Canis lupus familiaris: one gene and its partners. The protein of the gene in region 1 interacts with the protein of each later gene in a biochemical or structural test. Links are inferred from orthologs where the notes say so. Each region holds a gene or a part of one and is shown in the gene's direction. Other genes may lie near its edges.

Region 1 (5,235 bases):
GCAGTATTCCCTGAATAAATGGTAGCTGTTGTAACATTTATGTAGTGCCTCCTACACTAGATGTGTGGCCTTTGAGGAGTTCTAGTGTAGGACACAGACAGACCTGTGAATGAAGGATTACAGTACAATGGGTAGGAACTGTAATGGAAATAATATGGACACAGGGCTATGGATGCAGAGAGGAAGTAATAGTTGGTTAAAAAAGGGAAGACAGGGGGATCCCTGGGTGGTTCAGAGGTTTAGCACCTGCCTTGAGCCCAGGGCGTGATCCTGGAGTCCCGGGATCGAGTCCCACATCAGGCTCCCTGCATGGAGCCTGCTTCTCCCTCTGCCTGTGTCTCTGCCTCTGTCTGTGTGTCTCTCATGAATAAATAAATAAATAAATCTTAAAAAAAAAAGAAAAAAAAGAGAAGACATTTGAGATTCAGATCCAGAAAGGAGTGAAAGGGTATTCCAGAAAAAAGAAACACAAGGTTCATGTAGGAGCTGTTAAGAGGACACTGTGACCTCATTTTATGCTGTGACCTAAACTGGGAATTTTAAGTTCTGGAGACTGTTGTTTGTTTGTTTTTTTAAGATTTTATTTATTTATTTATTCATGAGAGACACAGAGAGAGGCAGAGATGTAGGCAGAGGGAGAAGGAGGCTCCCTGCAAGGAGCCTGATGTGGGATGCGATCCCACATCCCAGAATCACCCCCTGAGCCAGAGGCAGATGCTCAACCACTGAGCCACTCAGGCGTCCCAGTTCTGGAGACTGTTAAAAGTTGTGCACAGGGTAGGAACAGTCTTAGAGTTGTAATTTAGAAAGCACACACTGTCAGATGTGTGCAATGTACTTAGAGCAGCAAGTCTATAGGGCACCAGTGAACAGGCTGTTCACAGGAATACAGATACAGATATGGAATACAGAGACAGAGATCATGATAGTAAGGAGAATAGAGGATACCCCTGGCCACGACTAGTGTTTAGAAGAATCTGGGCAAATGACTTGAAAGACTCAATCCAGAGAACTCCTGGCTTGGCACATTCTGCTCTCTCTGTCTTGCATGCTCTTCCCCTACTGGCCATTCAACATTCAGCTCAAGCCACCTCCTCTGGTAGGTGGAGGACTGAATCCCTTTACAGACTGGGCTGGAGCTCCTGGTTGGTTCCCTCTCACAGTGCTTGGAATTCCTTTGTCATTGTTCCTGCTTCCTCCCACTGGTCTGTGAATTCTGTGAGGTCAGGGCCCAAACCTTGATCACCTTTGCACCCACAGAGCAAATGTGGTGTCAGTAACTGCTGAGTCAATCAGTGCAAACAAAATACTTAAGCCAGTCTAGAGAGAAGATGGAGGAACCACCAGAAAAGGACCAAAGTCTCCAGGAGCTCAGGCCCTGAGGCCACATACATCTTTTGTAGTCCAACTGTGTCTCGGAGTTGCTGCCTAGAATTCCCGGGCCTTCCAGGAACTCGAACCCTGGAGCCGCGTGGCCAAAACCGCAAACACAAACCTCCGCCGACTCCTCGCTGAGCCCCTACCACCGGCCCTGGACTTGGCCCCTCCATCCCCTGCAGTCCCGATCCCCGCCAGGCGGCGACGCACACGGCGGCGCATGCGCAGTGCGCACCCGAGCTGTCCTTTGCCCTTCTCCCCATGGCGGGTTGCGGTCCCCTTCCCGGCATCCTCGCGGGGGCAAGGTGCGCGTCATTTCCGGTGGGGAAGGCCCGCGGCCGCCGCCGCCATTTCGGGCACTGCTGTGAAGCTGAGACCCGAGCCGGTCCGCTGGGCGGCGGGCGCCGGGGCAGGAGGGGCGCGCGTGCCGGCGGCGGCCCAGCGTGTAGGCGCGGAGGCGGCCATGGCGGGCAACTTCGACTCGGAGGAGCGGAGTAGCTGGTACTGGGGGCGGTTGAGCCGGCAGGAGGCGGTGGCGCTGTTGCAGGGCCAGCGGCACGGGGTGTTTCTGGTGCGGGACTCGAGCACCAGCCCCGGGGACTATGTGCTCAGCGTCTCGGAGAACTCGCGCGTCTCCCACTACATCATCAACAGCAGCGGCCCGCGCCCGTCTGTGCCACCGTCGCCCGCCCAGCCTCCGCCCGGTGAGGACGGACGGGACGGGACGGGAGGCCCCGGGCGGGGTGAGGGCCGCGGAACTCGCCAGCCTGACCGGCTGCCCCTCGCGAGCTAGCCTCCACGAGGGACGTGGGCAGAGGGCTGGAGCGACCCTGGCATGGGGGTACCTTGGTGCCCGGGCTCGTTCCCACCACTGGCGGTTGTGTGTGTGTGGAGGAGGAGCCGCTGACCCAGGCCTCTGGGTGTGACTTGGGAGGACAGCCCAGGGGAAGGGGAACTGCTTCGGCCCCAGGGTGGGGCTAGCGCCGGGGCCAGGCACTAGGGCAGGGCGGGCAACGTGGGGACAAAGAGCGGAGGGGGATATTGGCACTGCGGGGGCATCACTTGGCAGCGGTTCCCAGGATGAATTCGATAATCCTACAAGTGGCTTTTTAGGCTTGAAACATTTCCTGTACTGTTAGAGAGCCGGGTTTGGTTTGGAGAGCTATTCTCCCCTGCTGGCCTTTGATAGGAAGTCACCACATACTAGCCCGGAGGGATGGAGACACCCTCAGGAAACCGGTCAGCTTTTTCCTTTCTTGGGCATCTTTCCAAAATACTTTTACTGTCCTCTTCCCCCGCGGAGGACGAAGGTGGTGAGCTAAGTGCCTTGGTGACAGAAGTAAGCCCTCTGTGATCAGCCCAGAACAAGTTGATGTCCAGCTGACCGTGTCCAAGAGATCTTGGCGTCCAGAGACTCTTTTCCACAATTAGAGGGTTCTAGTTTTCAGGGTATTTTGTGGAGGACAGATTCTATGCCCCCACACCCCTCCCAGGAAATAAGCCAGTGGAAACAGTCCCTTCCTTGGAAGTGAATGGAACTTCCAATTTCATTGGACTTAAGCATTGTCAATGTCATATGTCAGGGCCTCTTGCTCAGTAAGTTGGGGCTGTGGCCCTTTTCTTTCTTAACCAAGGATCACTGAGATGTGACTGTCCTACTTACGCCTTTAGAGCTGTTTGGAGAATGTTAAGGAGGTTCATGCACTTAGTACTTGAGATTTGTGAAATACAGAGTAATTCTGAGGTTATTGTCAGATTACCATCATCTGTGTAACAGCACCAAGAGTTGTAGTCTTTCTCATTTTTCAAATTGAAGCAGTTTTCTTCTGACCAGCTGAGGCTAGCTCCAGGCCAGTCTCATAAGAATTAGGAGCCTCCTGAGCCAGCCTTTGCAAACTTGCCCTTTAGGGATAGTCCTAATTTAGATTCATTCACTCTGGCCAGAAATAGGGAGATGGGATAGTCAGTCTCTGTTGCTAACACGTATCAATTATAGGAAGAGTATGAGATCTTTAAATCCAGGAAGTATCCTAGGTCTTCTCAGTCTGCTTGGTTTAATTTTTATTTTAAGATTTTATTTATCTATCTATCATCTGTCTATCTATCTATCTATCTATCTATGAAAGACACAGGCAGAGGGAGAAGCAGACTTCTCGCTGGGAGCCCGATGCAGGACTCAATCCCCAGACCCAGGATCATGCCCTGAGGTGAAGGCAGTCACTCAACCGCTAAGCCACCCAGGCACGTCCCAGTCTGTTTGGTTTAATAGCATAACATGAGACAGGAATATTGATAGAACATAAATTTGCCCTAAACCCGATATGTTGTGCTTTTCCTTTTTTTTTTTTTTTTTTTTTAATTTTTATTTATTTATGATAGTCACAGAGAGAGAGAGAGAGAGAGGCAGAGACATAGGCAGAGGGAGAAGCAGGCTCCATGCACCGGGAGCCCGATGTGGGATTCGATCCCGGGTCTCCAGGATCGCGCCCTGGGCCAAAGGCAGGCGCCAAACCGCTGCGCCACCCAGGGATCCCTATGTTGTGCTTTTTCACCACCTTCTTGGTATCTAGGGTTGTGCATTACAGTGCAGTAATATGTCAAACTGTCACTGAAATTCAATTTTCAACCTCCTGCACCCCCAGTTTTCAACCTTTTATGTATGCGTTTTGCAAAATTTGGAGATGACAACAGGCAGGTTTGCTGGTTTGAGCTTTCTACACACCTTTGTGTTATGACTTTATATCTCTGCGCTTACCTTGATATTGAGCTCCACCTTTTCATAACAGATAGGAGTTCAAATCCTTGGCTCAAGAGAGAAGGTGAAGATTGCCAGAGTTTGTGGATGGGGTGTGGAAAGTTCACAGGCATTGTGTTAATTCTTGTTTCTGGTAATGTGCCCAGTTTTTCACATAGAGCAATTGATTGAGTTGCTGTCTTTATAAAGGTTACTTAGTCTTTGTTCTCCTTGCTTCCCCGTCAAGCTCTTTTCTTTTTGAAACTATACAGAGGAATTTCTTTAATTTTAGAAAAGCGTGTAGAGTATTAATAGCTAACATTTATTGACTGGTTATTCTGTGCCAAGTACTTTGCTGAGTACTTTCTGTGCCTTGTCTCATTTTCTGTCTATAACAATCTGGTGAGAAATACTGTAATCTCTATTTACTAAAATATTTTCATTTTATAGGTGAGGAAACAGAGAGATTCAGGAACTTGCCCAAGGTCACACAGCTGATAAATGACTGAGCCAGATTTTCAACTTCGGAATTCTGACTAGAGAGCTGACACTATTCTGTACTTCTTTCTCTTTCCTTTTGAGATCTGAACAGTGCTCATAGAAGATTTGTTTCTGTCACAGGGTCCTATGTTCTGTTTAAAGACCAAAAGGAAAGGATGACCAGAAGAAACTAGCTTTAGTATTTGGACAATACATGTCTTTTATCTAAAAGTCAATGATGAGGGACGCCTGAGTGGCTCAGTGGTTGAGCCTCTGCCTTTGGCTCAGGGCGTGACGATCCCAGAGTCCTGGGATTGAGTCCCCACATCAGGCTCCTTGCATGGAGCCTGCTTCTCCTCCCTCTGCCTATGTCTCTGCCTCTCTCTGTCTCTCATGAATAAATAAAATTTAATAAATAAATAAATAAATAAATAAATAAAAGTCAATGATGAGGCTTTTAAATCCTTATTTGGCAAATTGAAGATGAAAAATGAACTTTTTGCTTAGGATTATATAGCATATTTTGTGGACATAATACATGGGTAGAATTAATATGGAATGGCTCAGATACAGTTTTTAGAGGCATGGGGTAGGATGGATCGGATATTTTTAACCTTTTCTGGTGAATCTTTTTATTTTATTAT
Region 2 (4,612 bases), on another chromosome or scaffold:
CATGAGACCTGCAAGGGGCGATGCTGGGGTCCTAGACCAGAAGACTGCCAGACATGTGGGTTTACTCCCCTCCAAAAACCTCATACACTTTTAATATCCCTGCCCGCCCCGACCTATGTCAACACCGGGGGTAGGACAAGCCTAGACTAGAGGGCAAGAGTCAGAGCCCTGACTGCAGTGCTTCTTCTTTCTATAGTGACCAAGACCATCTGTGCCCCTCAGTGTAATGGTCATTGCTTTGGGCCCAACCCCAACCAGTGCTGCCATGATGAGTGTGCAGGGGGCTGCTCAGGCCCTCAGGATACAGACTGCTTTGTATGTACCACTGTTTGCCTGGTTCTGAAGTGGGGATGTGGGCTTTGGGGAGGAAGTAGGAATACTTACATAATGTGAGTTTTATGAATTTCCTATGTTCCTAGGCCTGCCGACTCTTCAATGACAGCGGGGCCTGTGTGCGCCAGTGTCCACAGCCTCTGGTCTACAACAAGCTAACTTTCCAGCTGGAACCCAATCCCCACACCAAGTATCAGTATGGTGGAGTTTGTGTAGCCAGCTGTCCCCGTAAGTGTCTAAGAAGAGGAACAATGATAGTAGAGCCAGGGTTTTAGAAAAAATTTTAGGAGATATAGGGATCAAGTTGGGTGGTAGAGGATGTAGGTTGTAATCTAATCACCTCCGGTGAATCCTCTCCCCACTGTCCTGTCTACTTCCCATGATTTCTAGCAACTGCTCCTAGTTCTGCAACAAAGAGCAAAGAGCTTTTCTCAGCCATAGGACAGCGTTTAAGGAACCTTGGGTGGTGGTTTGGGACAGATCCAGCACAGAGCAGGAGGGAGCAAGGTTCAGTTGCTCGTTGGCAGTGTTCCTCTCTTGTCTCTCATGGTGCCCTCCTCTCCCTAGATAACTTTGTGGTCGATCAAACGTCTTGTGTCCGGGCCTGTCCTCCTGACAAGATGGAAGTAGATAAAAATGGACTCAAGATGTGTGAACCTTGTGGGGGGCTGTGCCCCAAAGGTGAGTAGGAGATGGTGAAGAGCTGGTGAAGAGAACTTCCTTTCCCCAGAGACCAATCAGGCTCCACCCACTGAGCCTCTTTTGTGTTTGCAGCCTGTGAGGGGACAGGCTCCGGGAGCCGCTTCCAGACTGTGGACTCGAGCAACATTGATGGATTTGTGAACTGCACCAAGATCCTGGGCAACCTGGACTTTCTGATCACTGGCCTCAATGGGTTAGACTCTGCATTCCCTCTCTAACCCCCACTCCATCCATCCTCTCACGGTTCATTGCATTTGGCTCAACCCTTCATATGTGCAGCTGATTAGGAATACGAATCACAGGGGCACCTGGGTGGCTCAGTCGGTTAAGCGTCTGACTCTTGGTTCCAGCTAAGGTCGTGATCCAGGTGTCGTGAGATCAAGCCCCGCATCCTGCTCTGTGCTTAGTGTGGAGTGTCCTTGAGATCCTCTCCCCCTGCCTCTGCTCCTCCCCCTGCTTGCTCTCTCTCTCTCTCTCAAAATAAATAAAAATCATTAAAAATAAAAAAAATAAAAGGAATATAAATCATGAAATTTTAAAGGTTACACAGTACCTGACCATTCCTAACTCTGTCTGCCACCCAGGACTTGAATCCCTTGAGACCCCCCCCAAGGAATCTGATAACTGTCTCACTGCACGGCAGTGGACAAAGAAATTGTGTTCTCCTACTACTTTTTTTGTTTTTTGTTTTCAGATTTTATTACATCTATCTATCTATCTAACCATTTATTTGATAGAGACAAGGAGGGGGAGCTACAGAGGGAGAGGGAAAAGCAGGTTCCCCCACTGAGTAGGGAGCCCAATGTGAGACTTGATCCTGGGATCCTGGGACTGTTACCCGAGGTGAAGGCAGACAGCCAGCTGACTGAGCCACCCAGGCACCCCTTTATGTAAGAGAGAGAGGAAGAAGGACGCCCGGGTGGCTCAGCGGTTTAGCACCTGCCTTCGGCCCAGGGCGTGATTCTGGAGTCTCAGGATCAAGTCCCACCTTGGCTCCCTGCATGGAGCCTGCTTCTCCCTCTGCCTGTGTCTCTGCCTCTCTCTCTCTGTGTCTCTCATGAATAAATTTTTAAAAATCCTTTAAAAAAGAGCGAGGGAGAGAGGGAATCCCAAGTGGGGCCATGTCAGGAGCACAGCCCCACGTGGAGGACCCTGAGATCATGACCTGAGCCGAAATCAGTCCAATGCCTAATGGACTGAGCCACCCAGGCGCCCCTTAAGATTTTTATCTTTAAGTTATCTCTATACCCAACGTGGGGCTTGAACTCAACCCTGAGACCACGAGTCGCATGCACCACTACTGAGCCAGCCAAGTGCCCCTGCCCGAATCAACTTACTTTAAGAAAGATTTTATTTATACACACACACACACACACGTGTGCACGCTTGTGCACGTGTGCGGGTGTGCAAGTTGGCGAAGAAGCACATGGGGAGGGAGAAGAAGGGGGAAAGAATCTCAAGCAGATTCCACGCTGAGCACAGAGCTGGCCTGGGGCTCCATCCCATGACCCTGGGATCAGGACCCCAGCTAAAACCAAGACTTGGATGCTCAGCCAACAGCCACTCAGGCGCCCCCTGAATCAATTTTTAAAAAAAATTTATTGATTTATTCATCAGACACACAGAGAGAGAGAGGCAGAGACACAGGCAGAGGGAGAAGCAGGCCCCATGCAGGGAGCCCGATGTGGGTCTCATCCTGGGACTCCAGGATCACTCCCTGAGCCAAAGGCAGAGGCCCAACTGCTGAGCCACCCAGGCATCCCCTGAATCAATTTTTTGATGAGAGTTGCCACATGATGATTTTTTAACTCCATTATTCCTTTTGCATTTATTTGTCGGCATTTTAGTGTTAGGAACAGTTTTCCTTTCCCATTGATTGATTGATTGGTACCTATTTCACTCAGTCCTTTATAATCTTTTACAGTTATTATTTTGGTGTTGATTTGTCTCTGTTCTGGCCACTGGGGGCTTCTTCAAGCCAGATCCCAGATTCTTTGTACCCTTCATTCTCTGAGCACTTACTTCCTTTTTTGCATAAGATGCTATAAACTCATGTTATATTTCTCCCGCCCTACTCATTTCTCCAAGGAGCCCTGTTTCCTTTTAGTGGAGGATGGTATTAGAATGAAGTTCTGGGCAGCCCGGGTGGCTCAGTGGTTTAGCGCCACCTTCAGCCCAGGGAGTGATCCTGGAGACCCGGGATAGTCTCACGTCGGGCTCCCCGCAGGGAGCCTGCTTCTCCCTCTGCCTGTGTCTCTGCCCCCCTCTCTCTCTATGTGTCTCTTATGAATAAATAAATAAAATCTTAAAAAGGAAAAAAGAAAGAAAAAAGAAACTTAAGTTCTGAGGCTAGGTGTGACTGGGTTGTACCTGTATCTTGTTGACTGGTTTTGACTGTTCTCTCCAGAGACCCCTGGCACAAGATCCCTGCCTTGGACCCTGAGAAGCTCAATGTCTTCCGGACAGTACGGGAGATCACAGGTGAGTGGGAAGAGAGGCTGCTACCCTTTCTGAGAGAAATGAGTGAACCACTGACACAAATTGGTGTATAACTAGTTACAAAGTCATGTCCCAAGTGATGGGAGAGGGGCCACTAGAACCTGAGAAGGCAAGAAGGGAAGACTCCTTCCCCGCTGACGCGCCTCTCTCCAACCCGTCAGGTTACCTGAACATCCAGTCCTGGCCTCCCCACATGCACAACTTCAGTGTCTTTTCCAACCTGACAACCATTGGGGGCAGAAGCCTATACAAGTGAGTAGTTAGGAGTGTGGTGGTGGTAGTACCTCCAGGCAATGAACCCTGTTTCTTAGGCATCTTTGAGTGAAGCACACGTGTTGTCTCAGCATGCCCAAAGGGCTGAGAGTTGGAAGGGGAATCTCTCTTCCCGGTCTGACTGGCCCAGAGCACATTGGTTAAATGAAAAGGAATCCACTGCATGGTCATTTTCCCCTGTGTAATCTCCCTTCTTACCTCGTTTCCTTGTTCTCAGCCGGGGTTTCTCTTTGCTGATCATGAAGAACTTGAATATAACATCTTTGGGCCTCCGATCTTTGAAAGAAATTAGTGCTGGGCGTATTTACATAAGTGCCAACAAGCAACTCTGCTACCACCATTCTCTGAACTGGACCAGGCTGCTTCGGGGGCCTCCAGAAGAGAGGCTGGACATCAAGCATAATCGGCCCCGCAGAGACTGCGGTGAGGGGAAGGGCCCAGAGGGTGGCCGGGAAAAAGAAGTCAGGGAGGAGAGGGTACAGTGTGTAAAAACTGTTCTGCTCAGGAGTAGGGATCAGAGGGTAGAGCCAAGGAGAGGGGTGTGTTAGGCTGGAGGCACTTAAGAGGAAGAGCTCAGCAGAAGGCACGTGAGGAGAGCTGACTCCTCCTGTCTCACCCCTTCCTTCCCAGTGGCAGAGGGCAAAGTGTGTGATCCCCTGTGCTCCTCTGGGGGATGCTGGGGCCCAGGTCCTGGTCAGTGCCTGTCCTGTCGAAACTACAGCCGAGGAGGTGTCTGTGTGACCCACTGCAACTTTCTAAATGGGTAACACTGAGGGGAGAGAGAGGCACGAAGGGGTGGGAGGAT
Region 3 (4,612 bases), about 7.0 Mb from region 1:
TTTGAAGTAGTGCCCGTTCTCAAGGTTAACTTATAGTCAGTGGGGCTCTTTCTCCGGATACCATGTGAGTGTGCACGTGACCACACCTGTACTTTTCCAGAGCAGCTTCCTTTCATGATTGGAAAGAACTTTGAAGGCCTGGGTTTTGGGGATTTGGCTTGAGAGCTTTTAGCTTTGTCAAGAAAATAAACTGAGGGCAATGTGGACAATTTTTAAGGCCTTGCAACAAGTACTACTACAAGCCCCTAGAAAAAATATAAAACATAAATTTGGAGCCTTTGGAGAGCCTTTAGACCATGGAGTCTGAGGCTTCCTCTTACAGACAAGGAAACTGAGATGCAGTCAGGAGGACTTGGCCAGGCTCCTGCTGTGTGTTGGTGATCCACCCAGACTCAAAACCCATCTCTGCTGTGGAGCTCCAGACACAGTGTCTAGGGCTCCTGCCCCTCGGCCCGGTGCCCCCCATTATTTCCATGCTCGGGTCCCATTGCACCCTGCCCAGGACCTCTGTGTGCTCTGTAACCTTCTGTAATCCAAGTTCTTCTCCTTCTCCAGCCAGTCTGAGCTCCCCCTGACAGATTGCGAGGTGGAGATTCTCAACAAGACAACTGGCATGTCCCAGTCGGCCGAGCTACTCCCAGACTCAACAGATGAGGAGGTTGCGCCCCCTAAGCCCCCCTTACCTGGCATTCGGGTGGTTGATAACAGGTAATTGTTTTTCTTGCACCTTCTTCTACTTATGATATAATCTAATGAAAGAATAGGTAGATGAACAAAATGAAGACAGTGCCATTAGGTCAAGAACTTGGAACCAGCCCTTTGCTCTTTGGAAGCCTTAGAATCTTGATCTTTCTTGGGAAGGGCATCTGTGGAGGATGTGAGCCCAGCCCCAGTACCTTCCCTTGCTACACACTCCAAGAACTCCCCTTGGAGTGCCTTATAGTCTTAGTATAATTTATTATAAAAGGATAAGAAAGGATTTTTCTGATTTTTGGTTTTTTGGCATTGATAGGATTTATTTGGGCAGTGATGGTGTGGGACAAGAGTTGAAAGTGTGAAAAGTAGGTGTAATGTGTCTGATAATGAAAGAATCCCACATTCTATACCCTAATGTCTTTTTAAAGAGTTTTTGGGTTATTCGGTTTGATAGAATTTCTTGGTCTGTTTCAGTCCTCCACCAGCATTGCCACCGAAGAAAAGACAGTCAGCTCCATCCCCGACCCGAGTGGCTGTTGTTGCCCCCATGAGTCGAGCCACCAGTGGCTCCAGTTTGCCTGTTGGAATTAATAGGCAGGTAATGTAGCCCCATCTGGCAAGGCAGAGGAAGGCTTTGGGTTTGGGAACTTTAATCCTGAAGCTAAAAGAAACCCAGTGGTCTTCAGCTCCTAGCACTGAGAGGATCATTCCTTCTCTTGACAGGACTACAGGACCTGGTAGAAATTCCCACATGGCCGGGGAGGGGGGGGGGAGGAATGGAGAGACTGGAGCTGAGGAGTGTCTCCTGAGGACATCTGAGCCTGGCCCCAGGGCCCTCGCTTGCCACACAGTCCCAGCACTCGTAAAAGCTTCTTTCTCAGAAGTCACAGACATGGGTTTTTATTGCTTACATCAAAGACAGGCTTTCCAACCGGGTTTCTGAGTTTGGCAGTCTCCTTCCCTAAGTAAACGTACTGATTTCTCTCCCCTGGACTCTGCCACCATTTCTCAGAAGTGACTTGGGCTTTTTATTTTTCCACATGAGGATTTTGATGTGGACTGTTACACACAGAGGCGACTCTCAGGAGGCAGCCACTCATACGGCGGAGAGTCGCCCCGTCTGTCCCCCTGCAGCAGCATAGGCAAGCTCAGCAAGTCAGATGAGCAGCTGTCCTCTCTGGACAGGGACAGCGGCCAGTGCTCCCGGAACACAAGCTGTGAAACACTAGGTGAGTCCCAGGCATCTTGGTCATTCCTCCTGTTTCATCATCTTTTGGTGGCTGCTCTGGGGTCACACGGCCCTAGCCAAGTCGTTCAGAACCTGTTTTCTCATCTGCAGAGTGAGGGTACCAATATCTACCTCTCTCAAGGAGGTTGAAAGTTTGGATGAAATCACATAGGAAATCCTCAGATGGTAGCCATTATTATGGTTAATCTGTCAGTGTACCATCTGACTCCCTTTGCCAGCATTAAGAACCATCTGTTCAGAGCTGTAGATGAAGGGGGAGAGTCCTTGACGACTTTTGACAGAGGGTGAAGTCAAGTGACCAGCACATGCTGACCTCCTGGTTGGTGCAGAGCATGTGCCGTGGGGGCCGGAGGAAAGTCTAAAAGGCACTTGGCAGGAGATTTCAAGAGCGTTAAACTGCTCATGTCCCATGAGCTGGACATTTCACTTTGAGAATTTATTGTAACATGATCAGAGATTTATAGCAAGATTTCTATCCAAGGACATTAATCTCAGCATCACTGGGAGTACTGGTAAACTGGAAGCTAACGACTCAGCGGTAGGAAATCTGATGAGTTGTCATATATCCACTTGGTAGAATAAATATGTAGCTCTGAAAAATCAGTGACAATACACTAGATAAAATCTAAGACCATGGACATCGCAGTTTCTCAGTTGGATTTAAAAAACAAAAAATCCTAGGGGGGAAAAAAGACTTTTAAAGAAATCCATCAAAATGTAAACAGAGGGCAGCCCGGGTGGCTCAGCAGTTTAGCACCGCCTTCAGCCCAGGGCATGATCCTGGAGACCCAGGTTTGGATCCCATGTCAGGCTCCCTGTGTGGAGCCTGCTTCTCCCTCTGCCTGTGTCTCTGCCTCTCTCTGTCTCTCTCTGTGCCTCTCATGAATAAATAAATAAAATCTTTTTTTTTTTTTTTAAAGTAAACAGATACTTAAATTACGGGACTGTGGATGATTTTTATTTTCCTGATATGGGTTTTTTTGGCCATATTTTCTACAGTGGTCACACATATTTCTTTTCTTTAAAATAAGAAATTAGGAAAATACAAAGAACAGGGTAGCAAACAGCCATTTTCCCACCTGCTTTTACTTTTTCAGAGGGAGAAGAATGGGCAATATAAAATAAAGCATATAGATGAGATGGGAATTATGTTTGCATTGCACACGAATAAAAGGGATTAGGAAGAGCAGAGAGTTGGATGATTTCTTTCTGCAGGGCCTTGTGGCTAATGGGTATGTTTCTCTTGTTGTGAACACAGATCATTATGATCCTGACTACGAATTCCTTCAGCAAGACCTCTCTAATGCAGACCAGATACCTCAGCAAGTGGCCTGTAACCTTAGCCCATTGCCAGAGTCTTTGGGAGAGTCTGGGTCTCCATTTCTTGGCCATCCTTTCCAGTTGCCTCCAGCGCCTGGCAGCTGTCCCCAGCCAGAGGGGCCCTTGGCCCCAGGACAGCAGATAGACATGCCACCTGCTCTCCCTGAGAAGAAGCGCAGGAGTGCGGCCTCCCAGACCACGGACAGCTCTGGCTGCAGGATGTCCTACGAGCGGCACCCCTCACAATATGACAATATCTCGGAAGATGACCTGCAGAACCCAGCCTCGGTCCCGTCCATCCCCTTCACGCCCTTTGCTGCTATTCTCCCCTTTCAGCAAGGAGGGTCCTCAGCCTCTGTCGAATTTGTGGGTGATTTCACTGTTCCTGAATCAACAACGGGTGACCCAGAAAAACCACCTCCTCTACCAGAGAAGAAAAACAAACACAGTAAGCTTTTGTCGAGCTGTTGTCAGGAAGCATACTTTGTAACCTAAAATGGTATTGTGTTTTATCTGAGCGTTAGGCCAGAATCAAACCAGTGGCCTCGTAATTTCATAAAAGATGGGGCCCTTGGTACATGGACACTTCAGGAGCTTTGTTTTGTCAGTACTGGTGATGGTTTTTAGAGCCTGATAAGCCGGCCTCTCTTTATGGCCTCTTAGATCTTAGGCCAGGCCTCCACAGAGTCCGAGTGTTTGGCCAGAACACACAGCAACAAAGAGAAATGAATGTCACAGCTTCAGGACAGCATAACAGTAACATCCGGGTAAAGCAGGATGGACGTTTGAATTTAATTAGAACTTACTGCGCCCACAGAGGGGTTTTCTGAATATCCCTGACAGCGTGTGGGGTTAGAACTCTCTTTAGAGAGTTCCCTGCCCCCGCCCCCCCATCCCCATTGCAGACATGAAATGTCACTAATGACTTAGAATCTGAGGAGGCCTGGTTGGAGCTGCTGAGGATATTTCTTAGGCCAGATATATATATATATATATTTTTTTTAGGCCAGATATTTTTAATATATGATGTTATTAGGGCCGGGGAAGGGAGACTGAAATTTTAGATTTTTGTAGTTGGAATATTTTCCAACTGTAAATTGGCCATCAAATTCCTAAGTAGAGTCCTACAGGAGATTGTTTTTCTGCTAAACTGCTCCCCGTTGCCAGTCTCTTCCTGCTCTGCCCTGTCCCCGGCTCCACTAGCACAATTCTGTTCCGTCTTTCTTGGACATACTGGCCATCACCATTTGGATGTGTGTGTAGTCATCTGGGCCATACAGCCCCAGGGCTCCCTGGCCACAGTTGAAGCGTCCGGCAGAACACTTCTGTCGACTAGAATCGACTCTC

What was found. The genes of interacting proteins can lie anywhere in the genome.
Region 2: the proteins of CRK (region 1) and ERBB3 form a complex in vitro, tested with the Homo sapiens proteins (2 studies listed by BioGRID and IntAct, with this or other methods). The link is inferred for Canis lupus familiaris from reciprocal best matches to the Homo sapiens genes CRK and ERBB3.
Region 3: the proteins of CRK (region 1) and RAPGEF1 form a complex in vitro, tested with the Homo sapiens proteins (4 studies listed by BioGRID, with this or other methods). The link is inferred for Canis lupus familiaris from reciprocal best matches to the Homo sapiens genes CRK and RAPGEF1.

What each region holds. Positions count from the first base shown.
Region 1 is NC_049230.1:45,570,136-45,575,370, reverse strand, and holds the start of CRK (adapter molecule crk), read left to right. Parts: upstream 1-1,733; 5' UTR 1,734-1,840; coding exon 1,841-2,081; intron 2,082-5,235. UniProt on the Homo sapiens protein: Involved in cell branching and adhesion mediated by BCAR1-CRK-RAPGEF1 signaling and activation of RAP1.
Region 2 is NC_049231.1:764,184-768,795, forward strand, and holds part of ERBB3 (receptor tyrosine-protein kinase erbB-3), read left to right. Parts: coding exon 1-55; intron 56-196; coding exon 197-315; intron 316-419; coding exon 420-561; intron 562-900; coding exon 901-1,014; intron 1,015-1,107; coding exon 1,108-1,228; intron 1,229-3,442; coding exon 3,443-3,516; intron 3,517-3,695; coding exon 3,696-3,786; intron 3,787-4,024; coding exon 4,025-4,230; intron 4,231-4,437; coding exon 4,438-4,570; intron 4,571-4,612. UniProt on the Homo sapiens protein: Tyrosine-protein kinase that plays an essential role as cell surface receptor for neuregulins.
Region 3 is NC_049230.1:52,613,438-52,618,049, forward strand, and holds part of RAPGEF1 (rap guanine nucleotide exchange factor 1), read left to right. Parts: intron 1-555; coding exon 556-708; intron 709-1,170; coding exon 1,171-1,294; intron 1,295-1,741; coding exon 1,742-1,925; intron 1,926-3,203; coding exon 3,204-3,713; intron 3,714-4,612. UniProt on the Homo sapiens protein: Guanine nucleotide-releasing protein that binds to SH3 domain of CRK and GRB2/ASH. Transduces signals from CRK to activate RAS. Involved in cell branching and adhesion mediated by BCAR1-CRK-RAPGEF1 signaling and activation of RAP1.